Linked DNA regions of Diceros bicornis minor. The protein of the gene in region 3 purifies or fractionates together with the protein of the main gene of each other region. This does not show direct contact. Links are inferred from orthologs where the notes say so. Each region holds a gene or a part of one and is shown on either strand. Other genes may lie near its edges.

What was found.
Region 1: the proteins of TGFBR2 (region 3) and SMAD7 purify together in Homo sapiens (affinity purification with western blotting; 3 studies listed by BioGRID). This does not show direct contact. The link is inferred for Diceros bicornis minor from reciprocal best matches to the Homo sapiens genes TGFBR2 and SMAD7.
Region 2: the proteins of TGFBR2 (region 3) and SMURF2 purify together in Homo sapiens (affinity purification with western blotting; 3 studies listed by BioGRID). This does not show direct contact. The link is inferred for Diceros bicornis minor from reciprocal best matches to the Homo sapiens genes TGFBR2 and SMURF2.
Region 4: the proteins of TGFBR2 (region 3) and ENG purify together in Homo sapiens (affinity purification with western blotting; 3 studies listed by BioGRID). This does not show direct contact. The link is inferred for Diceros bicornis minor from reciprocal best matches to the Homo sapiens genes TGFBR2 and ENG.

What each region holds. Positions count from the first base shown.
Region 1 is NC_080755.1:41,553,817-41,560,878, reverse strand, and holds the start of SMAD7 (mothers against decapentaplegic homolog 7), read left to right. Parts: upstream 1-4,052; 5' UTR 4,053-4,582; coding exon 4,583-5,195; intron 5,196-6,547; coding exon 6,548-6,601; intron 6,602-7,062. UniProt on the Homo sapiens protein: Antagonist of signaling by TGF-beta (transforming growth factor) type 1 receptor superfamily members; has been shown to inhibit TGF-beta (Transforming growth factor) and activin signaling by associating with their receptors thus preventing SMAD2 access.
Region 2 is NC_080757.1:47,385,880-47,393,583, reverse strand, and holds the start of SMURF2 (E3 ubiquitin-protein ligase SMURF2), read left to right. Parts: upstream 1-4,696; 5' UTR 4,697-4,962; coding exon 4,963-5,014; intron 5,015-7,704. UniProt on the Homo sapiens protein: E3 ubiquitin-protein ligase which accepts ubiquitin from an E2 ubiquitin-conjugating enzyme in the form of a thioester and then directly transfers the ubiquitin to targeted substrates.
Region 3 is NC_080741.1:34,747,545-34,754,935, forward strand, and holds the start of TGFBR2 (TGF-beta receptor type-2), read left to right. Parts: upstream 1-4,381; 5' UTR 4,382-4,779; coding exon 4,780-4,873; intron 4,874-7,391. UniProt on the Homo sapiens protein: Transmembrane serine/threonine kinase forming with the TGF-beta type I serine/threonine kinase receptor, TGFBR1, the non-promiscuous receptor for the TGF-beta cytokines TGFB1, TGFB2 and TGFB3.
Region 4 is NC_080767.1:35,847,309-35,855,175, reverse strand, and holds the start of ENG (endoglin), read left to right. Parts: upstream 1-4,858; 5' UTR 4,859-5,179; coding exon 5,180-5,246; intron 5,247-7,867. UniProt on the Homo sapiens protein: Vascular endothelium glycoprotein that plays an important role in the regulation of angiogenesis. Required for normal structure and integrity of adult vasculature. Regulates the migration of vascular endothelial cells.

The DNA.
Region 1 (7,062 bases), on a different chromosome or scaffold from region 3:
CGAGCCAGCCGGGAGTTCCTTTACCGCCCAGCTTCTTTCTTGGAAGGGAAAGAAATAAGAATGCGATGGCGTGGCGCTGGCTTTCAGGAAGGCTTGGGATGTGAACTGATTCAGGGGATGCCAAGGAGCCATAAAGCAGCACCAACCATTGTAGCTACTTGCCCAGCATCCCACCCATCGTCTACCTAGGGTAGTAAAATGGAGGAGGAAAACCGTGTGTAGAGGGCAACATAGGGGTGACGCCTGAATTAAAATACCCACAATTACACTATATGGGAGCATATCTGTGCAAGTATATGCATGTTCCACCCAGACAAGCTGTGACGTCAGATTCAACTCCTGAAACACCTACTGAACCTACCTGCCCTGTGCGTGCTCTGTCCTCTCATCACAGAGTGTTAGCACCACTGGCCAGATTTCCAAGTCTCCAGATTCTTCATTTAGCCAAGAAGCTTAATTAGAATTATGACATTTGCTTAATCTGTTTATTTAAGTCCTTCCTGTCACTTTGCAGCCTGGCCTAGCCTCTCTTGAAAATTGAAGATCTTCTAGTGAGGCCCAGAGTAGAGAGAGGGAAGGGGACCCCGAGAGGGCAGGAAATTTTGCCCAGAAAGCTTTTAAACCCTGCCAAGTGCTCAACTAGTGGTGAGGGTCACCACTAGTACAAGTTATTTAACCCATGAGTGGCAGAGCCCCAGCCCGGAATCAGGTTTTCTGACTTCTAGTCTGGTATTTTTTCTAAGCCTTTCTAAGGGGAGTATGTTATACATTTCCCACACACCTCAAAAATCTCATTCTATCTCTTCTGCTTTTCCCTGCCAAGGATGATGGGCTCACCCGGGTCCAAACCTCCCTCCTCCATTTTCCCCTGGGCTCCTCAGCTGCGGTCTTTGCAGGCTGCATCTTTAGAAAGTTTCACACAGACACACAAGGTTTCAATGTCCTTCTTGATAAGCAGCATTTTTACTTATAACCAAATTATGATCTTATACAATTGCAGCCTATGTGGCCTTACAAAGTAAATGTTTAGAATGCCCTGTCCTACACACCTCTCTGCACTGCTTGGCGTTGCAGTGTCTTCTAGGTCAATAAACTTCAGGGCTCCCTTGCCTGAAGATGATCATGTAACCAATGTCTCTTGTTTTTCTCTCACATTTATGTCTTCAAAGGTGCTTTTGGTGGGTTGGGGGAGGGGGAGTGGTCCAAATGTTCCTTTAAGTCCTATCCAACTCTGTTGATTCCTAAATATTTATTAAGCATCTATTGCATGTCAGACTCCTTTTAAGTTGCTGGAAGGTAGGGGGCTGAGCTATAAAGCTAAGATTCATCTGTGCCTTTTCCTTTTTTTTTTTTTTTTTTGTGAGGAAGATGGGCCCTGAGCGAACATCTGCTGAGCCTCCTCTTTTTGCTGAGGAAGACTGGCCCTGGGCTAACATCCATGCCCATCTTCCTCCACTTTATATGGGGACGCCGCCACAGCATGACCACTTGACAAGTGGTGCGTTGGTGCGCCCCCCAGGATCCGAACCAGCAAACCCCACCTGGCAGTCCCTGTGCCTTTTCCTTTTAAGAAAGTATAATTTAGCTGGGAAAATGAAAATAGTACATTTCGTCTTTTCTAAAGATTTATTAAAATCCCCAATGAGTTTCATTGTCCTGATCTCACAATTCTAAACGACTTTAAAAAAAATCTTATGTCACTGAATAAGTGAGGTTAGATCACCATGCCAACTAGTGGCCTCCTTAGTACTGATGCATATATATGTAAGTCATTATGTTTCTCAGTACCATCAGCTTTCACCAAGTAAACGCGTTCTCGTCCTTTGCCCTACCAATCCTCACCCATTTTCATGCAGTAATCTGCCAGCTGGGTCTATGCTTCTCCCGAACCCGGGGTTAAGGGATAAACTCTCTGACCCTAAGCACCTTGAAAGCTACGAGACCGTGGAGGGCGCAGAAGCAGGCCCCGCATGCATATGCATGCCCTAGGCAGGTCGGCTCCGAAGGTAACCTTCCCGCGCTGGGAGGCGGGGTGGCGGAGGTCTTCCGGGCTCCGGAGGAAACCTGCCCGCGGCGGGCGGGCAACTCCGCCCCCCCCCCCGACTTCTCCCGCCAGGATGCTGCCCCTCGCAGCTCGTCAGCCAGCCAAATGCATTCCAGAGCTGTACACAAGACACACTTCTCCAGGCAGTCCTAGAAACCCGAGCCCGGAGCGGGAGAGGGCGGGAGGGAGCGCGCGGCCGCCGCTGAGGTCACATTCGCGCCGCCTCCCCGCCCTCGGCGGCCCGGCTGTTCCCTCCAGCGCACACTTCCCAGGGCCTCGGTCCAGTCCGGTGTAAATGTCTTTTAGACGGAGACAGCGCTCTCCTCCCCCTTCCCTCCTGCGCGGCCAGGGGATCCGCCGCCAGGGCCCTTAAAACGGAACGAATGAATGAAGCGCTTAGGGCGAGCGCGCGCGGGACGGCCGCGGCGAAGCTCCGCGGCTGGGTCTAAATTGGGCCACCGACCCGCTCGTTCCGCTCCAAAACTCGCCAGCGAAGCCCGCTCGGTGCTCTCGGGTCTTCCCATTTCTCCTCTGATCCGGCCAGGTCTCAGTCGATTCTGGGAGCTTCTCTGCTCCCCACCTTTATTCGCCCCCCCGTCGTTGGTCCCCCCTCTGCAGGCCCGGGAGGGGGTGGCGGAGGCGGGGGGGCGGGGGGAGAAATAGCTTTTAGAAACCCGATCTGTTGTTTGCGAAACACAATCGCTTTTTTTTTTTTTTAAAGCGACAGGGTGTCTAGACGGCCACGTGACGAGGCCGGAGCCGGGCGCGCCACTGCGCAGTGGAACCAGCAGAGCAGAGGGCCGGGGGCGGGGGGGGGGGGGGCGGGGGGCGGGGAAGAGGCGGCGGCGGCGGCTGGGGGCGGGGGAGGGAAGGGGGAAGAAGGGGGAGGGAAGGGGGCGGGGGCGGGAGGCCTTGCGGGAGGCGGCGAGCCCCGGGCACACTCGCTCGCTCGCTCGCTCGGCGCACGGAGGAGCTTGTCCCCGAGCCGCGCCAGCCGAGCCAGCCGGGCGCCGTGCTCGGTCCGCTCGCTGCGCCGGAGAGAGCTGCGGGAGACAGAGCCAGCCCGCCGGCGCCGAGCTGCCGAGCTCCCGGCCCCGGAGCCCCTGAGTGCGGCGCGGCGAGCCCCCGGCGGCGGCAGAAGGACCCGAGCGCCAGGAGAGGGCGGACGGGGGACAAGGAGGCTCCCGGGCGCGACGAGGAGAGTCTCAGAGGAGGAGGCAGCGTGAGGACACCGGGGCCTCCTGCCGCCGCAGCCGGGTCGGGGCGAGCAGCCCACACGGGGAGCCCCGGCGGCCAGCCGCGGCCAGGGGAGGGGGCGCCGGCGGCCCCCGCACTAGCGAGCAGCTTGCGCCTAGGAGGGCGAGAGCGCGCGACCCGCCAGGGGCCCGCCGCCGCGCCGCCCTCCCCCGCGCTGTCAGCCCCACCGGGCGCAGCCGCCGCCGCCGCCGCAGCAGCATCTTCTGCCTCTGCGCCCCCGCCAGCCCCGAGGAAGTCCCCTCCGAGGACTGGGGCCCCCGGGAGCGCAGGAGGAAAGACCAGAGACTCCCTTAAAACACCCAGATGCGGAGGATTGAAGCAGCCTAGCCAAAGCTTTCTGTGGATTAAAAAAATATACGATTTTTTTCTTTTGGCAGAAGAAAAGGAGAGGAAGACCCGCGGGGCTCTGCAAGGAAAAAAGGGGGATGTAACTCGTGGATACGCTTTTTCCACCCCTCAAACGTCTCGTTCTACTTTGTAAAGATTTTCTTTTTTTAAACCCCAGCTCCAGCCGGACGCCCCCAGACCTCCGGGGTGCGAGGAGGTGGTGTTTTTCATTGGCTTTGCATATTGGGTTCTTAGATTTTGAGAGAGCCTCCTTATTTCGCCAGACATCTCATGCGGGGTGAAGTCCACTCGGCCCCCTCCCCCGAGTCTTCGTGTGCACGGAATTCGAGGAGATCCGGTTACTAAGGATATAGAGGAAAAAAATAAATCGCGTGCCTGCTTTTTTTTTTTAATTGCCTGCTTCTCCCCACCCCCAAATTAAGTTGCTTAGCAAGGGGGAAAGAGGCTTTTTCCTCCCTCCAGCAGCCCAGCCGAACGCCTTTCGTTTTTTGCCCCCCGCGGATCTTCCATGTAGGAAGCTGAGGCTGGCGAGCCCGACACTCGGGAGCCGCTGCGGGGGGGCCTCTTTTTGGGGAGGCGCCGACCCGGGCAGGCTTCGTCCTCCCCAGGGAAGCGGCGGCCGCGTTCCTCCGGGGTGCGCCGGGGCCCGAGAGCCGCGCACGGCGCGGGCCGCGCGGGGTGGGGCAGCCGGAGCGCAGGCCCCCGAGCCCCGGCGGGCGCCCCCGGGCCCCCGCGCTCGCCCCGGCCTCCGGGAGACTGGCGCATGCCACGGAGCGCCCCTCGGGCCGTCGCCGCTCCTGCCCAGGCCCCTGCTGCTGCTGCTGTCGCCTGCGCCTGCTGCCCCAACTCGGCGCCCGACTTCTTCATGGTGTGCGGAGGTCATGTTCGCTCCTTAGCCGGCAAACGACTTTTCTCCTCGCCTCCTCGCCCCGCATGTTCAGGACCAAACGATCTGCGCTCGTCCGGCGTCTCTGGAGGAGCCGTGCGCCCGGCGGCGAGGACGAGGAGGAGGGTGCGGGGGGAGGCGGAGGAGGAGGCGAGCTGCGGGGAGAAGGGGCGACGGACGGCCGGGCGCATGGGGCCGGTGGCGGCGGCGCGGGCAGGGCTGGCTGCTGCCTGGGTAAGGCGGTCCGAGGTGTCAAAGGTCACCACCATCCCCACCCCCCAGCCGCGGGCGCCGGCGCGGCCGGGGGCGCCGAGGCGGATCTGAAGGCACTCACGCACTCGGTGCTCAAGAAACTGAAGGAACGGCAGCTGGAGCTGCTGCTCCAGGCCGTGGAGTCCCGCGGCGGTACGCGCACCGCGTGTCTCTTGCTGCCCGGCCGCCTGGATTGCAGGCTGGGCCTGGGGGCGCCCGCCGGCTCGCAGCCCGCGCAGCCGCCCTCGTCCTACTCGCTCCCTCTCCTGCTGTGCAAAGTGTTCAGGTGGCCGGATCTCAGGCATTCCTCGGAAGTCAAGAGGCTGTGTTGCTGTGAATCTTACGGGAAGATCAACCCCGAGCTGGTGTGCTGCAACCCCCATCACCTTAGCCGACTCTGCGAACTAGGTAAGAAGTTGTTCTGTGCCCACCTTCCCCTCCCCCTGGCGCTCAAGCGGTGGAAGAAAAGCCCCTGCGGGCTGTGTTTGTGCAGCCACCTCTCTGGAGGGGAGTGTACATTCCCTCCTGGGAGGAGACTTGGGCGACCAAAGTAGAGAAGGAACAAGGGGAAACTGGAAGGGCATTCCCTGGGGGGTTCCCTTCCAGTTTTTTTCTCCTCGGTTGCTCCGAGGGGGGCTTATGGGCACTGCTCGTGCACACACTCTACAGACGTGTGGCTAAAAATGAGACGCTCTCATTTCCGGATCAGTTCGGGGTGCAGAGAGAACTGGGGGTCACGCCTCCCCCGCGCCCGGAAAGGCGTTGAGGTGTGTGGCCGAGTTGGATTCGGTCCAAGCCCGCCAAGGAAGGCTGGGAGAAGCGAATCGTAAAGGCTGGAGAGCCTCTGCTCCTTTAGTAAATAAGGAGAGTCACGTCGTGCACAAGTGGCCCGGATACTGCCCTGGATGCGCAGCTTTGGGGTTTTGGGGCAAAGAGGGTGAGGGAGGGAGGGAGGCCAAACTGGATATCTACTCTCAACTCTGCCAGCTCAGGGTGGAAAAGAACAAGCAGTCAGGAGAAGTTGCGTGTCCCCTGCTTTTTCCTTTCTTTCAGCACAGGAAAGCGCAGACTATGGAACTGTATAGACTGTAGGTCTGCCCCCAGCGCCTCCGTGACGTTGCTGCCTCTTAATGCGCTGGGGCCTGGGCTTCGCCGCCAAGACCCCAGCCTCCTCCTCTTTATCCTTCCAGCTGCCTCCATTGCTTCCCTTTTCTCAACGTCTCTGCGGGGGGATGGGGGCGCGGGTGCATCCTGGGCGCCCACAGACCCTCCTACGTTCACCAGCGCTCTTGGGGCGCGCCTCCCGGGTGGGCTGGGTAAGGGGAGCCCCGCGTTCCCCGCGCGGGCGCGGAGCGCAGCGGCGGGGGCGGAGGTGAATTGCGCCCCTGGGGGGCGGGCCTGGGCGGTGGACAGTGGGAGCGAGGCTGAAGTTCGGGGACGGGGAGGGGGCTATGTAGACCCCCGCCTTGTGAACTGTGAAGTGCGCGGCCGCGGCCGAGCCGGTGGTTTCCAGCCGGGCCGGTGGAGCGCGGCGGCTGCGGCCGCAGACGTGGAGGAGCGGAGCGCCGAGGCTGGCGCCAGGCGGCCTCTTTTGTTTATCTGACAGCTAAATATCAAGGCAATCACCGCCTCGCGGCCCTGCCTCCAACCCCCACAGCTAAGACAAACAGTTGGGCTAAAAGAATGCCTCTGTTATCATAAGTTTCTATCTCTCTTTCTCATGGCCCGGCCTTTATTTTCTCTTACTTTTTTAATTCCAGAGTCTCCCCCTCCTCCTTACTCCAGATACCCGATGGATTTTCTCAAACCAACTGGTGAGTAGATGATTTTAAAAATATCCTTCCTATCTTAAGTTAGAAATGGAGCCTCTAGAACCAAGATTTTTATGTCTAGGCAGTGGCTTTGGGGAGGCGCTGGGTCTGGTCGGGGGTGGTTATAGGTTTCCTCTGTTGGAAGTTTGGTGGATTTTTCCTGTTTTTGTTGTGGCTGGAGATATGTATATATGTTTAGGGGGGAGGCAGCGACGTTTCCTAGATATGCTTTACATTTTGTTCCTTTTTCGTGTGTTTGCACTCCGTGGCCAAAGTTGGCTCAGCTTTAACACGTGGAATTTGATCCACGCAGAAGTATCCTGGGAACCAAATAGGACAGGTTGATGGGAAAATGTGGAGACTCTGGGAGTGCCAGAAGAATGGGTGGGAAGAATGGATAGTTTGATGGAAGGGAAGACAGTTTAAAAAAGTGCAGAGAGGACCGTGGCCTGGAGTGAGAGATT
Region 2 (7,704 bases), on a different chromosome or scaffold from region 3:
CTACTATATTTTATTTAACCCAATATATCCAAAATATTACCATTTCAATATGTCATCAATATAAAAAATAAGATATTTTGCCTTCTTTTTTCCCATATTAAGTCTTCAAAATCCAACATGCATTTTATACTTGCAGCACATCACTAGCCATTTTTCAAGAGCACGATAGCCATATGTATTAGACTTCTCTAGATTCTAGAAGTGCTGCCCCTGGGTTGTAGGATCCAAGCTATAGGCCGGGTTGCAGGTGAGACTCAGTTCTGGAGAAGAACACAGGCAGGAGCAAGGCAGACAATCAAAGGTGTTTGGGGACGTGCTTAGGACAGACCTGAAGAGGAAAAGGTGTTCCAAGTGGAGACAAGTGAATGCAAGGGACTGGAACCCACTTAAACTTGCTTAAGTAAGGGGTGAGGTGGTTATTCTGCACAGTGAGATCCCTTGGAAATGAACTGTGAGAAGTCACACCTGGGCCAGGAGTACTGGCAGGAAATCTGTGAGACAATCACTTTCTTTGTTTCTCTCTTTAGGGTTATGAAGCCTCTTATCTCCACTTCTCTCTATTTTGTTAGTCTCTTTCTACACACTCATTTCCTCTCTCTCTCTCTCTTTTTTTTTTTTTTGTGAGGAAGATTGGCCCTGGGCTAACGTTCGTGCCTATCTTCCGCTACTTTATATGAGACGCTGCCACGGCATGGCTTGACAAGCGGTGAGTTGGTCCGTACCCCGGATCCGAACCTGTGAACCCCGGGCTGCCGAAGCAGAGCACGTGAACTTAACCGCTATGCTACCAGGCCGGCCCTCATTTCCTCTTTTTTTAATGTACTGGAACCTTAAAATGGCTTCCTCAGCTGCTAACACTATGACCTCTCAACCCAGCTCCCCACCGCTAACAGCCTCCCAGTATCTCTGTCACATATTCCAAGGAGAGAGACTCTGATTGGCCTCTTGATCAGCCACCCACCTTTGGCTCAGTTAGTTGAGGCCACGCTCACCTAACACAAATAAGGCCACCCAGGCTCATCCTTGATGTAAGGCAGTGGTTCTCAAAGTGGGTTCTCCCCACCAGCAGCATTAGAAATGCAAATTCATGGGCCCCACCCCACCCTGTTGAATCAGTATCTCTGGGGAGGGGGCCTAGGACACTATGTTACAACAGTAGGTGAGGGCAGATTCCCTCAGAAGGAGATGCAAGTAGGGACTACCATCTTAGTACACCAGGGTAGAGGCGGAGAAGGCAAGAGCCAAGGCGAATGGCACCAGGGAGCCCAGATCTGGAGAGACACAGGTCCCTGATGTGCCCTCAGCTTCCATCACCAGGGACGAGGTCTGCTGGGAGGGGGTCAGGGAAGGCGTCACAGAGAGCAGCTTGTAATGCAACCTAATCCTAAACCATGTCAGGACAGGATGGCACATGAGGGTTTTCAGTGAACCTAACTAAGGACCTGGGACAGGCAGAGGCAGAGAGGAAATGAGTGAAGATGGGGGAGGGAAGGAGGGTCAGGTTGACAACAGCAAGTACAGGGGGGGGCTGTGCTTGGCTGCTTCATCAGTTGTAAGCTGAATAGAGGAAGCTAGAAGTAGATATTAAATTAAATTAAATTCATGACATTTTAAACATTAAAGAAAGTTGAATTTTAAGCAGTGGTAGAAACTGCTGAGTGCCTGACGTTTGCTTTTTCCATGGCACATAAACTGTATTAAATCTGAAATTTACACTACAAAAATAGCTTCACAGGAGTACCATTATTAACATAACCTTACCTCAGACAGATTTTTTATTACTGGAGACAACTCTTCTATGTAAAAAATATATTAATGGCTGGAGCAGAAGAAAAAAACCAACTACAGATGGTAAGCATTTTCTTGCAACGTCACATCAGATTTAATATTAGCCTTGGAAAATAGAAACAAGTTTTAAACAAAAAGTTTTAAATATTCTTATAACCATGTGTAGATTTTCACCTCTAGTCTAGGATACCATCATAAAGAGTGCAACTTACAGTGATTAAAAAACATTAATGGAAAAGTTTAAAACTTTTGCTCAAAAATGTTATTTAATGAGTGGTTGTTAGCATTTTCATTGGAAGGTTCTTTTAAGTGGCATTTATGGAAAAAGACATATTTTATTGGTATGAAATAGGTGGAGTTAGTATATTTGAGACAGATGCCTAAAACAATGATTTGATAAAAGGTGCACAATTCTACCAAGAGCAAATTAGAAGTCATAAGGGAATAAAAAGCCTTTGAAAAGATTTTCTGCAATTCCCATACCCATTAGAGACATGTATAGGTACAATTTACCTTGGAAGTGGATTTCTATTTTAGGAAGAAAGAAAAGGGTGAATTCCCTAAGAATTGTTATTCCTCCCTCTTTTTCTCAAAAATTATGTCTAGAAGTGTTGCCATGATGAAGCAATGCTATACATCCAATGCTGAAATTTAATCTAATGAAAGTTTAGCTCTCCTTAACAGTATGAATGTTTTAAAGTATTATTCTTATCTGAATCTTTTATTTTAAACAATAAGATTTAAACATACACAGGCAAGCTTAAACAGAGTCCTCCCCTGCATATTAAGTACGTATACATTTTTCTGCACCATCACTTACATATCTGAATGTAGTGCTTTAAACTTCACAACAGGCAATCTCTCCAGCTTCCCCACACATTCTGAAATCCTAACTTTATTATCTAATACAAAGCTACCAATTATGTTAGTGGGTGGTTGGGAACAAAGGGCGTGCCATAACAATAAGGCAAATGTATACGTATATATCAATTTGCTAAGTTTTATTGCCATTACCCATCCAGTGTTTTAAGTTGTGATAGCAGCTACTGTTCAAATTGATTAGTGTATCTTCAGGGCTTCTGTAGTACAAAGAAGCATTTCTAAAGGACCTGGGTCACTGCTTTACACATGGGAGGCACTCAGTATTTGTTGAATGAATTTCTAGCACCATCCCCTGAATTTCTAGTCTAACTTCTAGCACTTTATATAATTTTTGGATCATTTTAATTGTAGAGCTGTATCCAGACTGACGGGATGCTCTTGGAGGTCACTTCATCTGGAGAATGAAGTGACATTACTGATGAATTAAAAGTAATGATTGATACTGAATTAGGATTAAAATATATTAGACTTTATTAAACATTTAAAATTGCATTAACAGCCTTAAGCAAAACTAACAGTACACAAAAAATCGCCTATGCTGTTACCCTTAGTTTTCATTGTGCTAGATACTTTTGCATGCATACATATAACTCTTCAATCTGCTTTTAAACTTCATTTGTAAACTCTTCCATATTATATGGTCTTCATAATTGCCATTTAAATGGCTGCATAAAAATCCATGCCAGGGGCCAGCCCCACGGGCCTCACTCCCCCTTCCCGTGCGTAGTGGTTAGGTTGCACCAGCTCTGCTTCCGCAGCGCAGGTTCGGTTCCCAGGTGCTGACGGTACAACACTCCCCCGGGCCATGCAGCGGCAGCGACCCACATACAAAATAGAGGTAGACTGGCACCATGTTATTAGCTCAGGGCGAATCTTCCTCAAGCAAAAAGAGGAAGATTGGCAACAGATGTTAGCTCAGAGCTAATCTTCCTCAGCAAAAAATAAATAAATAAAAATAACTCATGCTAATATAATATAATTCGCCATTAGACTGTTTGCTCATTCCTCCTTTTGTTATTTAACTGAACTTTGCAAAGAATATCTTCTGTATTACTGTACGTCAAGAATAAATTCCTAAGAGTGCAATTACAGGGTCAAAGAGTAAAGTACAGTTATTTTTATTTCATTTTCTGTTTTTTCCCCCTGAGATAAGGAAATACAGTACTGTATGAAAAGCTTTTCATACATTGCTCTCCAAGGTTTATCTTGTTCATAATCCTTTAAGGCATTATTATCATCCTCCTCTCCTTGTGCTACAGCTGGAAAAAGAGCCCGAGCAGGCAGGTAACCTGATCTCGCTCACCAGGTGAGTCCTGGATGGAGGTGGCAACTACGATACCAGGAGCAAAACACCCCTGGGGATTTGCTGGAATCCTCGGTGTGGGAACACCGTCTCTTCCCTCACCTCAGCGACGCTCAATTCCCTGAAGGCAGCGGACTCGGCTCTAACCTTGCCCGCCCCAGCCTCTCAGAGTGCCCTGCACGCAGTGGGCGTCTAAAAAATGCAGTCCGTGTTGCACGGACAAACGCTCTCCCTTAAGTGGGCTGGACACCAAGCCCCTCCTGGTGCCACAGAGCTCCGCGCCGCCACTTTGTTCCTTGGCCCGCTCCCTCCTAGACTCCTGCGTGGGACCCTCTGCTGCAGCCCACGCCCGTCCTGCCCGCCGGAGGCCAAGCGGAGCCCGGGCCTCGCGCCCCCGCGCCCCGGGCACCCTGCGCGCGCCCGCCCAGGCCCCGCCCGCCGGCCCCGCCCCGCCCCGCCGGCCCCGCCTCCCGTCTCCTCCCCGCCCCCCGGAGCCGACGAGTGGCGGCGGCGGCGGCCCCAGGACCCGGTTCGCTCAGACAAGAGGGCGGGTGGAGGAGGAAGCGGCCGAGCCCGGAGTCCTGCTGCGGCGCCGCCGAACACCGCCCGCCTCAGCCGACCAGCCCCGTCGGCTCCTGGGTCTCGCCGAGCCGAGAGGAGGGGAAGGCGGAGGCGGCTGCGTGGAGGCGGCGCGGGCGCGGGCGGAGGCGGTGCGGCCGGCCGCGGCTGCCGCTTTGTTGTGCGGCCCGGGCCGAGGAAGGAGAAGTGGGAGGAGGGGGGAGCTCGGCGTCCCGCTCCCTCCGCGGCTCATGGCGACGACGCTCGGCACATCCGGGACCCTCCTGCCGTGGCGGCCGCGGCGCCGGCTGCTCGGGCCCCAGCCCCGGCAGCTGTGGTGACTCCGCCGCGCCTCGCCGTCGCCCCCGCCCCGCCCGCCGGCCCCGGGCCCCGGGCCCCGCGCCGCCGCCGCCGCCCCCGCCGCCGGGGAAATGTCTAACCCGGGGGGCCGGAGGAACGGGCCCGTCAAGCTGCGCCTGACAGGTGAGGGGGGGCGGGCGGGCGGCGGGGTCCGGGCCGGGGCAGCCGCGGGGTGGGCGAGCCGGCGGGGGGTGTCGGTGGCCTTGGGAAGGGCCAGGGTCGCGATCAATGGTGAGTTGGGGGTCGGGGACGTGGGAAGGCCTAGTTCAGGGAGAGTAATGGCAAAACCACTCTCCCTTGTTTGGAAATTCGTAAAAAAGCCCAGGGTGACTCTGGGGTCTTTTGTTGAGGGGAGGGATCCCCCGGTTGGAATTCCGGGCGGATATGAGGTCGAAAAGCCTTGGCCGGGGAGCACGACTCTGTCCCGGGGCCTCGGGGAGCAGCCCCTGGGCTCCTGCCCAGGTGGGGTGGTCGAGGGGATGAGGAACTCCTGTGGCGGGGATTATTGAATCCGGTTGCCGACTGCGCGCAGTAAACACTCCTTAAAGATGGAGCGCTTAACGGGAGGGTGTGTGTGTGTGTGTTCCCTGGTTGGTAACTTGTTCGCCCACTTATGCCCGCGTGTAGAGCCTTCACTCTCTGCTGCCAGCCGCGGCAGCCGCCGCCACACACCTGAAACGCACGTCGTTGGGAGGGAAGGAGACTGAGGTTGACTTTTCCGGTGTGTCTGCCTGATCCGACGACTCGGGCTCTTTGTACACTCTGTGTTTTGGAAGTGTTTGATTGTAGGGTAACATGTAGAACAACATGGGTTGTTCCTTGTAGGCCGCAGAACTTGTGTCTCACTTCTAACTCTAGACCTGCTTTAAGAACACACTTTTTTTGGGTACATTTCTCAGTATGTGCTCATACAAACTTTCAAGCGAAATCGCTCTTTCCCCACTCTCCTCCCCTTCCCTTTTCTAAATGGAAAAGAATGTCTGGAGGGGTTGCTAGATAGAAGGCTTCTCTTGCAAAGTGTTTATGATTCCAAGTACGTTGAATCTTTAACATTACAGGTACGTTTTGCTTACGCTGCCATTTTTGGTATTCTTACATGGTCGCATTACCCCATTTTAGGAAAAAATTATTTTTCGTTTGAGAAGTGTAATTGAAATCAGTGTAGTTATCCTAGTTTCACCATTCAGTGTTAATAAATTATCCATGTTGATATTCGGATGTGTGGTGAGAAAGATGGTTTTCATAAGAGGATCTGTGTGTGTGTGGGTGCGCGTGTAAGAATAAACTATAATTATGTTTGCCTATACTAGACTTTAAGATTTATATGGACTAATTTTGTAATTGAATGCTTGTGTGTCACATCCTGGTCCGCTGGCTGAACTTGGAGATAAAAACTTGCAGCGAAGTTGGTATTTGAGAATTTAGCTTGACTGTATGTTGGCTGCAATTTAAAAAATATATTACTTTCACGACAGTTTTACTTTCCCTAGGGAAAATGGCAAAGAATCATTAACTGAGTGGTTCTTAATGGAAAACCTGGATTGGGGGATGCCTGTCTCCCCTATTTCCCCCAGTTTCCTTATTTTCTTATAAATCAATGAAAACCTTTATAAGGGATCTTTGTTGCTTTAGAGTTTATCTACTGCTGTTCCTCTCTGGAGTCAGTCCTGTGTCAGTGATCATGGAAAGAACCTGTGAGTCCAGGTGTGCAAAAAGCATCAGAAATAGGATGTTGGCCATGTACTTCCTTCTAGCCTATTCACATAATGAGAAAATGAAGGAAAAAACAGGGATTTTGATTTTCTGCAGATAAAATGAGTTTGAGATTTTTAATGTGACTCAATAGATCTTAAAGTGTTTATCTGTAATTTTCTTACTGCATATGATACATTATAAAAATTCATGAGTAAAGTTAGAAAAGATTACACTTATTTTTAGGGGGGAGAGGAAACACGACTAAATTTATAGAGTGATTTGGTATTTTTAGATTTTTCTGAGGAATTTTAAACACACTGTGTCCCCTTAATTGTAAAAACAGTTTGAGGTACTCTTAATTTCTTAAAACCATTGGGAATTTGTCTCTGACATATTTTAAGAGAAAACTATTTAAATATTAAAAACATTGCCCTCTCCCTTTTGGTTACATATGGTGGATTCTCTTCTGTTTTGCCAGGAAAACTAACATATATTTTTTCATTTTTGTTCATTTACAAATTAGATGGTATAGATTTTAACAAATAGATCTCAAGAGCTGGATTCAATTAGCAGCTTTTTAGGACATAAACATTAAAGGGTTAGATGGAAAAGATTGTTTTGACTGACTGGATAAATGACAGGGCTGTGTTTGATGTGTGTCCAGGAATTGGTCTGGAGCCGGTGCCCAACTTTTCAGTCCATCTTGAGAAGCCAAATAAAATATTTAACCTAGGCCTCATTTTGTTTTTAAAAAAAAAAAAAGCTGATTCTTTGTTAAGACCTTAAGAAATGTTTGGCATACCTTTAGACTAAGTGTTTAACAGTTCATTTAGATCCGGGTTCTATAATAGAGGAAAATCACTGAAAAAAAGGCAGATCCCACAGTGAATTTCTATTTGGTTTACAATACACTTGGGCTGTAAGATGCTTTAAAATTATTGTTCTTTGCTTTATGTTAATACCGTACTAGTATTTTAAATTTATAGAGTGCTTTTGATTCCATGGTGCTTTATGAACTATCGTTACTCAATTATATCTTTAATGTAGAGGTGCCCCTTTACTGAAAGGTGTAAACAATTCTTGTGTGATGACACACACACGCTCATACTCACACATAC
Region 3 (7,391 bases):
TGTAGTTAAATAGGGTGAGACTACAGAGACAAGAAGATGACAAAATTGATGTAATCCCACGTGAAATCACAAGAGATAGAACTAAAATAATGTCAGTGGTGGGGATGAGAAGAAAATGGATTCAAGAGATACTTAGAAAGACCCCAATGCCTAGTTAGTTCTGGATGGTAAAATAATGGCAAATTCTTAGCTAATTTTGTGTTTCTGGCTACCCATTGAAGACAGAGTCTTTACTTTATATAGGGAATGGGCCAAAGGAAAATACATTTTAGAGTCCCATTTTAGAATAAAGAGTGTGTGATACTAACGAAACATTTATGAAGAGAGTCGAGTAGGCAACTGGAATAATTGTAGCTTAGGTGAGAAATTAGAGCTTGATAATTAGATTCGGAAATCATCAAGCGCCAGTAAGCTGTAGATACAGATGTGTTCCCCAGGAAGAGTGAGAAAAGGGACAGAGGACGGAATTGGTAAACACTAGCATTTGACCCATGAGGGGAAGAAAACACCTGTAAACATATTGAGAAGAAACAGCTGAACAACCAGGCAGGAAATGGGGTGTGTTGGTTTGCTAGGGCTGCCACAGCAACTCTGGAGCTAAACAGGCCTCAGCTCAAACCTGGGTTCTGTCTCTTACTAGGTATGTGACCTTTGCTGAATACTTAATCTCTCTAATCTTCAATTTCTTCACCTGTAATGTGAAGATTAGAATAGTAATGCAAGGACATGCTCCCAAATGTTAACAAGTGATTATCTTTGGTTGATAAGGTTAGAGACCCTTTTTATTTTCTGCCTTTGGCTTATCTGTGTTTCAGACTTTTTTATAAAAGTAATATATATTACTCTTAGGGAAATAGATATTCTCATTTTTCCCTCTATTGAAGACAAGAAACATACATTGAGTACTGTAGGGCACAGGGTGTTGTCCAAAGTTAAAAAAGGAATAATGTGTTTTCAAGGACTTTGTAATTGGTGGGGTGGAATTCCAAAAAAACTAAATGAATAGCTATAATGCACTCCATATTAGAATAGGACAAACATAAAAAAATAGGTTAAATAAATTAAATGATGCTCCTTGGGTTCTCCCTGGGAGAAGAGAGATCTTACTAGGCTGGAGGAATCACAGAATGTTTCCTGGAGGAGCTGGCATCACGGATGACCCTAAAAGAGTAGCGACCCTCACAAAGTCACTATTGTCTCAGTGCTTGTTGGTTTGCTTCACAATAAAAGGAAAACTGGTCAAGAGATAAGAGCTGAGAATGCAGAGTGATTGGTTTACATGGAGAGGAATCTTCCTGTCAACTGCTGTAGTTGCCAGGAACCTCAACAGCTGCATGTCAAAAAGTTTGGGGGAGTAGAAAGTTCTTGCTTCATCACAGCTGGGAAATGCAGGGCTTAAAGTAACCACATTTTGATTCAGCCCAGTTGTTTCGTGTATGAGTTCAGAGTTTGCAAAACTGGGAAAATGAAGATAGTCAAGCTGTTTAACTTTGGATCAAGTTGGTTTTCGTTGTTTTTCAGTTTGGTAAGGGCTTAAAAATTACCTTTCTTCTTTTTTAAGTCCTGAGTTAAGCTTTTATTTTTCGTTTCCATCTGCAAATGGCCCAATTTTTACATACGGCTATTAACTACCTATGTGAAAACATAGAAAATTATATTAAGTGAATATACAATTATGTGTGAAAACAATGTCTTGATCAAGGGCGTCAAACTTCTCTTTCAATGAGACTCTCAAAAGGAAGGTCAGATTGACAAATTTTTAATATTGTCAAATTGTAGCATGTGTGAGTTCACACGTCTACGATTTCATTGTGATGATTTCTAAAAGATGAGTTTGCACTTGGCAATGCTGAATTCAGACGCTCAATTTCACAGGAGATTGAAGATTAAATCAGAAATGTTAAAGGCAAACAAAATTAAAATCAACGTTAGTGATATGTGATGACAAAGATCACCAGTTAAATATTCCACCACAGAATCAAATACCTCAAACCTGGCTTCTGACAATGTAAAACATCTGTCTTTGCAATAAATATAAAAGAGAAAGCCTTCGGAATCAATTGGGCATTTATTTGCCTCCATGTATTTTGGGGAATAAGGAAGCATATGTATGCTGTCCAGAGGAATTTGGGCAAATTTAGAAAAAAAAGAAAAAGAAACCCACACACTTCTTCATTTTTAAGAAAAAGAAGTAGTAGTGACATCACCCTCAGCTAAAATCTAGCCTGTTTATATCTCAATTTATGAGGTAATAGAATGCCTTCTTCAGAGTTATGAAGTAACTAGGACAGTTAAGTACAATTTCCTTCTGAATCTTGATGACCTCATTTGTTCATTCATCCAACAAATAGTTATTACACCCCTATTATGTGCTAGGTGCTGGGGATTTAATAGTGAGTGGAGGGAGAGACGTAATCCCTGTCCTCAAGATGTATGGACTTGAGTGGGGGATGGGAATAGAAATTAAAGAAGGGCGCAAATAATTATAAAACTACTGCTGTAGTAAGTGCTAAAAAAAGAGAGTCATATGGTGACAGGAGAAGCTACAATAAAAGATCTACTCAAGAGGTTAAGGAAAGCTTGCCCATCAAGGAAGCTATGATTTACCCAAGGAAGACCAAGAGTTGGCTGGGTGAAAAAGAAAGAAGGGCAGAGGACAGGAAGTGCACCCTGGGGAAGGCTCTGTGTGGGAGGAATGCAGGGGCATGTTCAAGGAATTTGGAGAAGGCTCTCAGCAGGAGAGGAGGAGAAGCCCAAGGGAAGGTTATAAGAGAGGAGGCGGTTTGAAGGCATGTTAAAGGATCTGGTTCTATCCTTTATCTCAAGAGCACTTGGAAGCCATTGAATGATTTTAATCAGAGGGTTGGTATAATCAGGTTTGCATTATGAAAAATTATTTTAGCTCTGATTTGAGAAATTGTGTGGAAGGGCCCAGAATGGCCCTGACTGGGGATGAGTGGTTGGGAGACTCCTGCGCCAGGGAAGGCAGTGGCATGGGCCAGGTGGCTGTGGAGGAAATAGGAGAAGCAGATTTTGAACTCAATTTTCCTCCATCGCTCAAGTGGCTTCCAGCTTTGGCAAGCCTGCTGGTGGGCAAGAAGATGCCCAGCCTTCCTGAATTCACTGCCCTTCCTGCATCCGAAATACAAGAGCTGGGAAGTGGCATTTTCCTAAAAGACACATTCAGAGGCAGTTTCAGTGCTGGGTGGAACAATGGTGACAAGACTTAAGGTTCCAGGATCAAGCAGATGAACTCTTAGATTGACAGGGAAGATTTTGGAAGTTGGGTTTCCAGGGAGGGCTATTTGCCTTTACTTCCAGTAAATCTGGCCACCTGCCTCTGCAAATAATCTTTGTCTCATAAGACAAGAGAGTTCATTGTGGAAACTGCTGGATGATCTCCTGACCAGAGGGCTATACAGAATCTAAGTCTTTGAGAGCTGGAAGTAGGGTGAGCATATAATTCATTATCCAAACAAGACACATGGGAAAGAGAATGTGTCTTGGTTGGATAATGATTAATTTCAAAACAGATGTACACCAGTATAGTTCTGGGCAAACCTGGTCACCTTAGCAAGAAGAGAAAGTTGAAAGTTTATTCTGTCCGCCTCCCACTATTTCCCCTATAGCAGAGGAGAGGATAAGCTTTCTCTCTCTTCATGGGCACTACTGGAATGCAAACACTGGTATTTAGCTGACTCCCAGGCCACTTTCATTTTTACATTTTCTACTGTACTTGATACATTCTGAAGATAAGATTTCTCACCATTATCACTCTGTAATGGCTGATCATTTACAATTACTCACTTAATCACCCCCAGGAAGAGGCAGGTCAAAATGGGAGGCACCACCCAAGAGCTCATCAGAAATGCTGCATCCTAGATGTACTGAATCAGAATCCGCATTTTAACAAGATTCTCAGATGATCAATATGCACATGAAAGTTTGAGAAAAAACGTCCGGACTTCAACCTACAGTAAGAAAACCTTTTTACAATGTGACAGTGTATGCACACATAACCGAAACAAAAGTTTGAGGCAATCCTTACTCTTACTATTTTATTAGGGAAAAAATGTGCTCACAACTCATTAGATTTCAGCATCCACTCACGGGTCGTGACTTGTAGTTTGAAAATACAACTCTAAAGCACCTAGGAACAATCCCAAGAAGGTTGGGGGCGGGGGAGATGCTTCGTGGGGGTGCTATGGAAAGGATATACACTTTCTCTGTTCAGTTACTTTCTGAAACGTGTGCACTTAGTCACTCCGGAGTAAATCCTTGGAGCGAGGAGCTCCTGAGAGCGGTGAGGGGCAGCTGAAAGTTTGCCAAAGCCCTCAGAGGGGCTGGTCCAGGGGACGTGATTGGCAGCTACGAGAGAGGGCGAGGGCTGGAAGCGAGCAGAGGGAGAAGGCTCTGCGGCGGCGAGAGGTCCTGCCCAGCTGTTGGCGAGGAGTTTCCTGTTTCCCCCGCAGCGCCCGGGTGAAGTTGAGTGAGTCACTCGCGCGCACCGACCGAAGACACCCCCACGCGCGCACACGCCCGGGGCAGGAGCCGGCCTCCTGCGCAGCTCCCCTCGGCCGCCGGGGGCCTCCCTGCGCCTCGCCGGCCTCCAGGCCCCCTCCCAGCTGGCAAGCCGGCGCCACATCTGGCCCGCACATCTGCCCGGCCGGCCCGGCGCGGGGTCCCGAGAGGGCGCGGCGCGGAGGCGCAGCCAGGGGTCCGGGAAGGCGCCGTCCGCTGCGCTCGGGGCTCGGTCTATGACGAGCAGCGGGGTCTGCCATGGGTCGGGGGCTGCTCAGGGGCCTGTGGCCGCTGCACATCGTCCTGTGGACGCGCATCGCCAGCACGATCCCACCGCAAGTTCAGAAGTCGGGTGAGTGGCCCCCAGCCGGGGCTTGGCGGGCCGCCGGGGGTCTCCCGGGCTCCCCGCCCCTTCGCCGCGCTTGACAGGCGGCCCCGGGAACGCAGCGCTCGGGCGGAAACGGGACGGTTTCCCCTCGCGGCACCCACGCAGCCCGACTCCCTTGGCCGCAGGGACGTGAGTTTTTCTTTAAAAAGAGAAGGAAAGTTCAAGTGGAAAGGGGCGCGGGGCACGTTTGGCCCCCTTTGTGCGGGCAGGAAAGGCGTTGTGTTGGCCGCGTTCGAGGCGAGCCCCCACCCCCGGAAAGGGAAGTTTGAGAAGTTGGTTATCTGAAGGAGGCAGGGGAGCAGCGGCCCGGAGCGGCGGCCGCAGAGGCCGCCAGAGCAGCTGGCACACCTGGGCCACCGCGCCCCGCGGCGATGCTGCGTGCCCACGCCGGCTGGCCGAGCCACCCCCTTAAATGGCCAGTTACTCAATCCTTAGCCCCTGGGAAGGGCCACACACTCCCCCAGGCCGGCTTCTTGGCCCGGAGTTACTGTAGGAAAGTTGCAAGACAAGAAGCTCTTTCCAAAGGAAAGTTATCCGGCTCCACTGACGGCTAGGCGTGGATGGGGTAGGGAGTGGAGGTTGTCAGGTGGAAGGCGGAGAGTTGTTTACTGAGTGCCTACTGGGTGCTGGGTGCTAGGTGCTGGAGATGGTGCCTGGAGCAAGACAACCCTGCCTTCCGGGAGTTGACGGTTCTCTGCAGTAATCGTTTGGTGGAAACGGAAGGGTTAAAATCGTAAATCCGCTGCCCACCTGATCTCTATCTCTAGAGGTTTTTGAGGGGGAAAAATGCAGGAATTGAGTTCTTAAAGATTTGTTATGAGAAGCATCGAACCCCTGAGACCTGAAGAGTTAGAATTTTTGCAGCTAGGATCCACATTATTGAGAATCTGCAGCTGGGCTGTGGGTAACGGAGTATTTGGACCTTTCTCAGGCCTCAGTTTGCTCATCTGTAAAGTGACGCGGTTAGATTTGGATAATTTTACATTACCTTCATCTTTATCATTTTATGTCCCTCTCTTCCCCCTTTGGTGACTTGGAGATGCCCTGTGTGGATGTGGGATGAAATGTATTGGATTTGACAGTCCACATCACCCTGAGGCACTCTTTTTACTTACCAAGGGCTGCACAGGCTTTCCTTTAGGTTTGTCTAGAAAAAATATGCACCAGGTTCTAAATGGTACATTTCAGGGTATTTGAAGTGGATTGAGAACTTTTTAAGATTATGTTTTATATTCAAAGTCCCATGGAGGTGGGAGTTTTTAATGGAATGAGGAAGAAGCACTTATTGTAAACAAAAAAATCCTAACATAAATTTGAGTTCTACTGTTTAATCAAATCCCAGTGTTTCATTCTCGGCTGTTTTTGTATACTGCAGTACTAGAATGTTCAGTTGCTTCTGATTATACCCCACACTCTTAAAAATTGAGTTATATTTTGCTAATAAATATTTTAAATGGCACCCTCAATTTTCTGTGTATGTTAAAAATCACTAAAACTTTTGTTTCAGATTACGAAAGAAGGAAATTAGCAGGCTCTGATTTTGTTAGGTTTTGTTTACAAGGATAAGATTTATGATTTGCAAATTCCAGACTCAATAGTTTATGAGTCGGTTTCATTTTATCTACATACACACTTTTAAACAATTAACTTAAAAGCTTAGGGGCTTTTTATTTGGGCTTTTAAACAGTTTTCCAAAATGCACAAATTTTATGTTTTGTGGAATTAAAGTTTCAAAATGGTTGAACTAAGGAATCATTTGAATTTGTATTCATTTGAAATTAAATTTTTGAAGATAGTTGAAGGTAACTATAATGAAGATGAGAAACCTGATTCCATGATTGCATTTTAATTTTCCATGTAAATAAATGGTTTCAGAATTTTTCTAACATAATTGGTACACTGTCAAAACATTTTTCAAAATATCTTAATGCATGATAAGATATGAGGAAATGAGATTATTTACAGCCTCCTATTAGGTCACCTAAAAAAAAATCCATCTTCTGTGGAGTAGATTGACAAGCAGATAAAGGATCTCAGTCTAAGAACAAACTTCACTAAGAAATATACTTAAAATTTTTTAAAGTTTTGTTTTTGACTTAGATTCACTCTTCCTAAATGCTCAAAATTAAGTAATTACTCTTTTGGGGAAAACTTTCAATGTCTGAAAACTCTTCAGATCTGAAAAATGTGACTTTTGCTTTTCAAATACCTACCAAGAGATGCTTGTTGATGACTCAACGTTGGTAAAAGTGTCATGTGGATAAACTTCTTTCTTAAAATCATGTTAAAGATATGCTTGATTTGTCAGAGTCAGAGACTAGACTAGGCCCAGAATTTGGTCTCTTTGCTCTTGTTCCCAGAAAGTACATTTTCACCTCTAGGCCACTTCCTATAATAACATCTTTTTATACCTATTTATGGTTTACACAAAATACTCATCACATTTTGGATTCATTGCCTTTTTTTTGAGGTGGCACCCCGT
Region 4 (7,867 bases), on a different chromosome or scaffold from region 3:
GTGTGGCTGGAGTGGAGTGAGCAAGGGGGAGAAGGGCAGAAGGCGAGGTCGGAGAGGGGACGGGGGAGCCTCGCTGGCCATTTGAGGGGCTCTGGCTTTCATGCTGAGTGAGAAGGTTGCCTGGGAAGGGCGCTGAGCAGAGGAGGGATGGAACTTGACGTGGGTTAACACGGGCTCCCTTCACGGGGGTGCAGGGTGGGCTGGGACAGGGGCGGAGCGAGAGCAAGCTCAGTGAGGAGGCGACGGCAATGTACCAGGAGGTGCTGGTGCCTTGGATCAGGGCGCTGGCTGTAGGGTGGGGGGAACCCCACAAACACTGGGAATCTGGGGGAGCAGCTGCCAGAATTTGCTTGCGGGTCGGATGAGGGGTGTAAGAGAAAGAGGCAAGGTCGACCTCAAGGCTGGAGCAACAAGCAGAGGGCGCTGTCACAGTCTGCGATGCAGAGACTGAGGCAGGAGCAGCCGGGAGAGAACAAGCAGAGCCCAGTTTGGGGCGCGTTGAGGTCTGAGATGCTTGTTAGACATCCGGGAGCCTGGAACCCGGGGGAGAGTTCCAGCTGGAGATGTAAAGTTGGGAGCCATCGGTATATAGACGGTATTTAAAGCTGTTTGTCTGGATGAGGGCACCCAGAACAGTGCTTTTCAAATTCTAATGTGCACAAGAATGCCCTGGGATCTGATAAAATGCGGGTTCTGATTCAGCAGGTCTGGGGCAGGGCCTGAGAGAGGTCCTCCTTGGAGCAGCAAGGATCTAGGGCATTCCGTTTTACGGCCAAGACCCATTGGTGGGTAACGAAATCAACAGGTCAATCACTGGCTTGTGATCAGTATTTGAAAGAAAACGAAGAGGATGGATGCACATCATAGGGCATATACAGGTTCACAAAACGTTTGTTTCAATTATTTGAACCTGAGTCCCAGTGTTTGTGCTGAGGAAGGACATCACGGTCACTCAGGTTTGAGAAAACCTGACTTGGGAGTGACTGAGGGTAAACAGAGAAGGGAAGAGGCCCAGGGACCAAGCGTGGGAGGATGAAGAGGAACCATGAGGAGGCAGATAAGGCGACCAGAGAGGTGGGAGGCAACCCAGGACGAAATGTTCTGGAAGCCAAGGGCGATAAGACAGGCCCAGATTTGAATTATCCTCTGCTTCTCCCCAGCCGTGTTATCGTGCACACCTGAGCCTCAGTTTCCTCCACTGTAAAATGGCGACATGAGTCTTGGCCCGTTAAGGTGGCTGTGAGGTGACACTTGGCACAAGGCTGGGCGAGCATGTGGATGGTGGAGAGATTCCGATCCTTGCCCTGGGCTTGGAGATCCTCCAGGTAAGCAGGCTGCCCTCCCATTGCACAGATGGAGAAATAGACCCAGAATATGGAAAGGTCTTGCCAGAGGCCACCAGGGGCAGAGCCTGGGCACCCTGACTCCCAATTCAGCGCCCCCTTTCCTCTGCACCCACTTTCTGCCTTGTCCCTGTGGGTCTGGCCCTGCTGTCCTCAATAGCCCCTGGCTCTAGGCCGGTGCTGGAGACGGACAGCCGCCTGGGGGGGTCCCTGGGGGCCGCCTAAAATTCCTTCAGTGGCCAGCGGCCAGGGTAGACGTGCTCCATCCCTTCCTGCAACCCTGGCCTTCCCGGCCAGCCAGGAGGAGGAAGGAGCAGAATTCGTGCACCTGCGCACTGCGAGGTCCAGGCACAGGGGCCTGGCTATCAGCCATGTGTCTCTTTGGCGTGTGGATAGGCGGCACCTGAAAACATCTGCATCAGTCAGAGCCCCGGCAGGAAACAGATGGCACGCTCCAATAGGATAATTTGAGGAGAGTGTAATGAAGGGTCTGTTTACACAGGTGCAGGCAGGGTGAGGGGAAAGCACAGGGGGCAGCCAGGACCCCAGCGCAGCATGGGCCATGACCACCCTCGGCCTGAAGGGCTGTGTGGAGAGTGCCCGGTCAGGGCTGCGGCCTGCACTGGAGGGAGGCCGCCAATTTGCAGTGACCCTTCAGGAAAGGAGCCAGAGGGATGGATCCTCCTCCTCCTTCCTCTCTCTGATCTGTGCAGGGGTGAGCGAGTGGGAGGAGGTAGATGTGTCCATCAGGGTGGAGAGTACATTCAGGGGACAGACAGAAGACAGCTAACCCAAGGGCTGGCCCTGGCTGTGAGACCGTATGACCATCAGGCTTCCTGGGAGGCAGGCGACCCAGTCCAGGGACTGGCCTCTTCCTCTGCGGAAGAGGAGCAAGACCTACTTCTGTGTGCCTCAGTTTCCCTATACCTCTACAGCCCCTGCCCTGCCTTACCTTCCAGGGCACTTCATGCTTTCAATAAATAGATCTCAAGAACCAATGGGTCCTGGGCTGTGTGCTAGGGAAAGGGGACACAGGCTGGGGGGTTGGGGAGGCCCAGGGCGCTGTGGGAGCCGCGGGGCGGCCTCCTCTCCACCCCTGGGGGTCCCAGTCCCTCCCTTCCTCCATGCGCTTTCCCAGGTCGTGACTCCAGGCCCTCCGGGGCTGTCTGTAGGGTTTTTCTCCCTGCAGGTTTCCTACAAGTTCTTCCTTGCATCCACCTGCAGACTCTCCTGCTTTCTAGAGAACCCAGAGGTCTTGTTTATAACGTGGGCGGGGATGGATTCTGCAGTATGGAGGGAAGTAGGAGGGAGGGAAGTTTGGGAAGAGCCTCCAAGGGGGTCCCTGTCACTGCCGCGGATGCCCCGACACCCACTGTGGACAACAACCTCCCTCACCCCACGACACCCACAGCCCCAGTGACATCTGTCGTCTCCACATTCAGCTCAGGCGGTGGCGGCAGGGAAGGAGGTGAGCTTGGAGCCAGGCAGCCCTGGGGTCTCCACTCTCCGGCTGGGGGTCACTTAAATTTCAGGCAGCCGTGGGTCCCTCCTCCGTAAGCGTTAATGGCCCGGCCTCCAGGAGTGGCTGTGAGGATTCAGAGCTGATAAGGTGAACGCCTAGGGTGGGGCCTGGTGCAGGGCGAGTTCAGGCCCTGGGGCCGGATTAACTGTCCGTGGGGCACAGAGCCTGGTCAGGGACCTGGGGAAACCTCACAGCCACCCCGCTATCCCCCACCAAAGCCATCGTTTGCCCCTTGGTGCTCACCTCCCCATCTCTGCGCCTACAGAAAAAGGCAGAGGAGCTGGGGGCCTGGGGGTGGCCACCTCCGCCCCATCACAGCCTTCCCGGCCTGTTGGGCATGGATGGGTCTCCCGTGACCCCACACCCATGCCTGGCCGGGAAGTGTCCGGCAGCTGCAGGGCTGGATGAGCAGCGAACCTTCTCCCAATCCCCACCCAAGGAGCCACACCCGCCCTTCCCGCCCTGATGTCCGCTCCTGGAGAGACAAACACACTTCTGCTCTGCTCCCTCTGGAGGCAGCCAGGGCTCCTGCCTTCTCCTTCCTCCCTGGGCCTCGATTTCTCCATCTGTGAGCCAGGAAAAGTATAAAGAGGAAGACCCCTGGCTCCATGCCCTCTGCAAGTCCTGCCGGCACACTCCAAGATTTGTCTTCTCAAAGCCCAGCTCTGCCAGCACCTTCTGCTCCAGAACCCTCCATGACATCCTGTGGCCTTTAGGATAAAGTCCTGGCATTCGAGACCCCTCAGCCAGCATCTGCCTTTCTAGGCGTCCTGTCCCTACCAAGCCCCTGCTTGTCCCACAGGGGTCCGACCACTTCCTGCCTCTGTGCCTCTGCTGGGGCTGGTCCCCGTGCCTGACATGCCCTCCTCACCCCTTTTTCTCCACCCACCAACTTGTCTGGTGTTTCACAGGCCAGGCCTAAATGCCACCTCCTCCAGACAGCTCAGGCTTCCTCCTCTGAGCTCCCTGGGGCCTGATGCTAGGTGCTACCCGTGACTCGCACCATGGTGAGCACATAATTGGCACTTACTATATGCAGAATGAACAAGTGACAGTTCTGGGGTTGTCTCCCAGGCTCAGGGAGCACTGATGGGGAAGCACTTCCTAGGTGCCAGGCCCAGAACTCAGCACTGTGGTACCCTGTCCCCTGGAAATCTCACAACAGCCTGGCGAGCAAGGCACCATGCGCCCACTTCACAAACAGGGTGACTGAGTGTTGAGGGGACTTGCTAAAGGCCTCAGCTCAGAGCAAGCAGGGTTTTGAACCTGGGGCCATCTGACATCAGAGAAGCCATTAGATTGTGTCCCCCTTTTGTTTGGGGCTTTCTTTTGTCCCTGAAGGACTTTGCACCCATGGAGAGGGCAGACATGGAGTGTGTGGCCCTGGGCAGGTCCCCTGTCCTCATGGGCCTGAGGCCTCAGCCCCAGCTGCCATGCTGACCCAATTTGAGAGTGTTCCTTTGCTATTCTGGGCCTCAGTTTCTCTGCCTGCAAAACCTGGAATGACAGCCCTGTGTCGTGCTGTGTAAGCCAGCTTTGGCGCCCGACGAGACCTGTTCAAATCCCAGCTCCACCGTCTCCTTGGGCCCCTTATCTCACCTCATCAGGACTCTGTTTCCTCATCTGCAAAATGGGAACACTGAGTTCATGGGGCTGTGAGTTCCACGTGAACTGCCTGGGCCAGGGCCTGGCCCCTGAAAGGTCCCCCTGGTGGGCTGTTAGGGTGATTGTTGTCATCCGCCCCCTGGGGGCTGCCGGATGCACCCCACCAGCCGGCCCTGGGGAGGGTGGGATGGGAGGATGGGCTGCGTGGGGAGACAAGCCGAGAGCTTGGACCCTCCCACCCCACTGCCTCCCCCCGCCCCAGGGCCCCCCACCCAGCGACAAAGCCCATGGCACTTCCTCTCTCCGCCTGGCAGGCCGCCTGGCCCGGCCCCTTCTCTAAGGAAGCGCATTTCCTGCCTCCCCGGGCCTGGCTGGATGAGCCGGGAGCTCCCCGCTGCTGCCGGTCATACCCCAGCCTCCATCCACATCCACAGGCCGGGCTGCCGCTGCCGCCGCCGTCCACAGGAGCCCAGCACCCGCTCCCGGCTCATCTCCCGGCCCGCGCCCCCCGGCCTGGCCCTGCGCCCCCGTGCCCACTTCTCCTGACCCCTCGGCCGCCACCTCAGAAGGCTGGAGCAGGGACGCCGTCGCTCCGGCCGCCTGCTCCCCTTGGGTCCCCGCGCGAGCCCACGCCAGCCCCCGCGCCCGCCCGCAGCCCTGCCCCTGGACACCGGATAAGGCCCAGCGCACAGACCCCCGGGTGGACAGCATGGACCGCGGCACGCTCCCCCCGGTCGTTGCCCTGCTGCTGGCCGTCTGCAGCCTCAGCCCCACAAGTAGGTGTCCAGGGACCCGGGGTGGGGAGACCGGCCCCCAGAGCAGAGACCAGGCCTCCTCCCTGTGTCCTGAGCCCGTGCCCTGTGGAACTGTCCTGGGGGGTTTGGACGGCACAAGGTGGATGTCAGGGTGACCAACCATCCTGGTTTGTCAGGCCAAAGAACTTTCAGTGCTAAAAGTCTCAGGCAAACAGGGATGAGCTATTATCTTAAACCTGGCCTCTGGCCTCCCGGCTGTGTCCAGTTCCTCGCCAGGAAGCCCAGGTCCCAGAGTGCTGTGCAGCCCCGGGAGAGTCCCCTGCCCTCTCTGGGCCTGGAGTTTCCCATCTGAGGAACGTGTGGGAAGAAGGGCCCAGGGTCTTGAGTTCAGAGGGTGGCGAGCTCTGGGTTCAACTCTCACGTCATTACTTCCTCATGGTGTGATCTTCGGGGACAGCCTTCGGGCCTCTGAGCTAAGCGGGAATGATAACAGAACTTCCCTCGGGGCTGTTGTGAAGGTTCGTGGTGAGTCAGTAAGGCAATGCTTGTAGAGAGAGCTCTCGGGCAGGCTGGTTGTTTCTGTGATGTTATTGTTGTTGCTTTGTGACTAGCTTTCAATTCCGCCAACCTCACCTTCCCAGAACCTGTGAGCGGCTCCCAGATCCCTTTTAAACACAGCACTCTCCCCTTGGGCTCTACTCCCTTCTCTACTCCCCGGGAGGCCTGCAGGATGGGGCCGCAGGCCCAGACTAGGGGTTCTGTGGGGGCTCCTCAGCCTGGGGGCTTTTCCAGGCCGTCATGGTCTCTGCTGCCTTCTGAAATGACCAGATGAGGGGCCCGTGAGGAGCCAGGGACTCCCCACGGGCCCCTCATCACACTCACTGGGGCCCCGCTGTGCCCTGCCACTCATCCACCAAAAGCCACAGGACGGCCCTGTGGACACCCCTTCACCCATGCTGCAGGAGTGTTCCCATACAGCAGCAGCAGTGGGCACCCCTCCCTGCCTTACCCCACCCCGCAGCATTTTAAAGTCCCTAAGCCTTGGTCTCTAAAGTCTTATCACTGCCTCACTGAAAGACAGGAAGTGGGTCTCAGACATTAAGTGACCTTGCAGGGATTTGACCCCAGGCCTGTGGCTCCCAGAACACTTGCTCCTAACCACATGTGCTGCGGCAGCCCCTCTCCATACAGCTCAGGATAATCCTGCAAGATGGCTGCTATCACCCCATTTTACAGGAGAGGAAGTGGAGGCTGTGACCTGCCAGGTTCACACGGCTCAGACAAGCCCTACCTGAGCTCCACCACAGGCCTCCAGGCTGCCCTGCCTTTCTCCTGCCTCCTCCACATTTCTAGCTTGATAACGCTCTCTTCCTCTTGGTCCTCAGAGAAACCCTCATGCAGATCTTTAGGGTCTGGTTTTATAGGATCAAAGGCAGGGGTGTGCTGGCAGATCATTAACAAGAGGGGTGGGGGGTAGGGTTTGCCAATTTCCGTGGTGTAAATGTTTCCACTCTGCTGATTTCAGGCTACCAATCGCCAAACTCAGAGTCGGGACGCGGTGCAGGGTAGTCTACCTTTATCTGGCATTTCCACCACGCAGATCCAACAGGCGTAGGTAACCTCAAGAGCGTAGATAATAGTAAAATGCAGTAAAATAATTAGGAAGTAATGAGTTTTAATATTTATTACCTTTTAAAAATATATAATTAAATTAATTTAATTTAAGCTTAAAAATTTAATTTTTTTTTTTTGTGAGGAAGATTAACTCTGTGCTAACATCTGCCAATCCTCCTCTTTTTGCTGAGGAAGACTGGCCCTGGGCTAACATCCGTGCTCATCTTCCTCTACTTTATATGGGATGCCACCACAGCGTGGCTTGCCAAGTGGCACGTCGGTGCGCGCCCGGGATCCAAACCGGCAAACCCCAGGCCATTGCAGCGGAGCGCGCGCACTTAACCGCTTGCACCACTGGGCCGGCCCCAAAAATTTGATTTTTAATAATGGCTGTATTTAACAGCCACTTGGAAAAACCCCTGAAAATTTATCAATCTGCTCCTGCGAGCAGGTACCAGCACCCCAGTGAGCATAGGGTTCAAGGGCATTCCAAACTATCCAGCCCAACTCATATACAGTTGGGGAAACTGAGGCCCGTGGAGGGCAGATGGGGGCCTGGGCCAGGGCGTGGAACGCAGATCTCCACGCAGGGGAGGGGGTGGAGTGACCCGGCATCCTCTTTCAGGCTGGAGGAGGTAAAATGGGTCTGAAATGGCCCCAAATGTGTCCAGCCCCCTGGGAACACAGCTTGGCAGAATCTCTCAAAACTGTAACTTGTGTAACAACTTGACCTTCAGAAGTCAGCCCTGTGGAGTTATTTGCCCAACTCCTTAAAGATGTGTGGTCTGTAGGTACCTGTAACAAAAATCCAACAACTGGAAACCACCCCAATGTCCATCAGCCTGGGCCCCATTAAATGATTTATTATGCAGTGGAATACTACGCAGCCATTACCAAGGAAAAGCTAGATCTATATCTACACTGCTGGGGACAGATGTCTGGGACACCCAGTTAGGTGCCCAAACAGCAATGATTCCACTTCAAGAATAAATAGTAATAACACACAATATACACAGAGAAAATCCCAA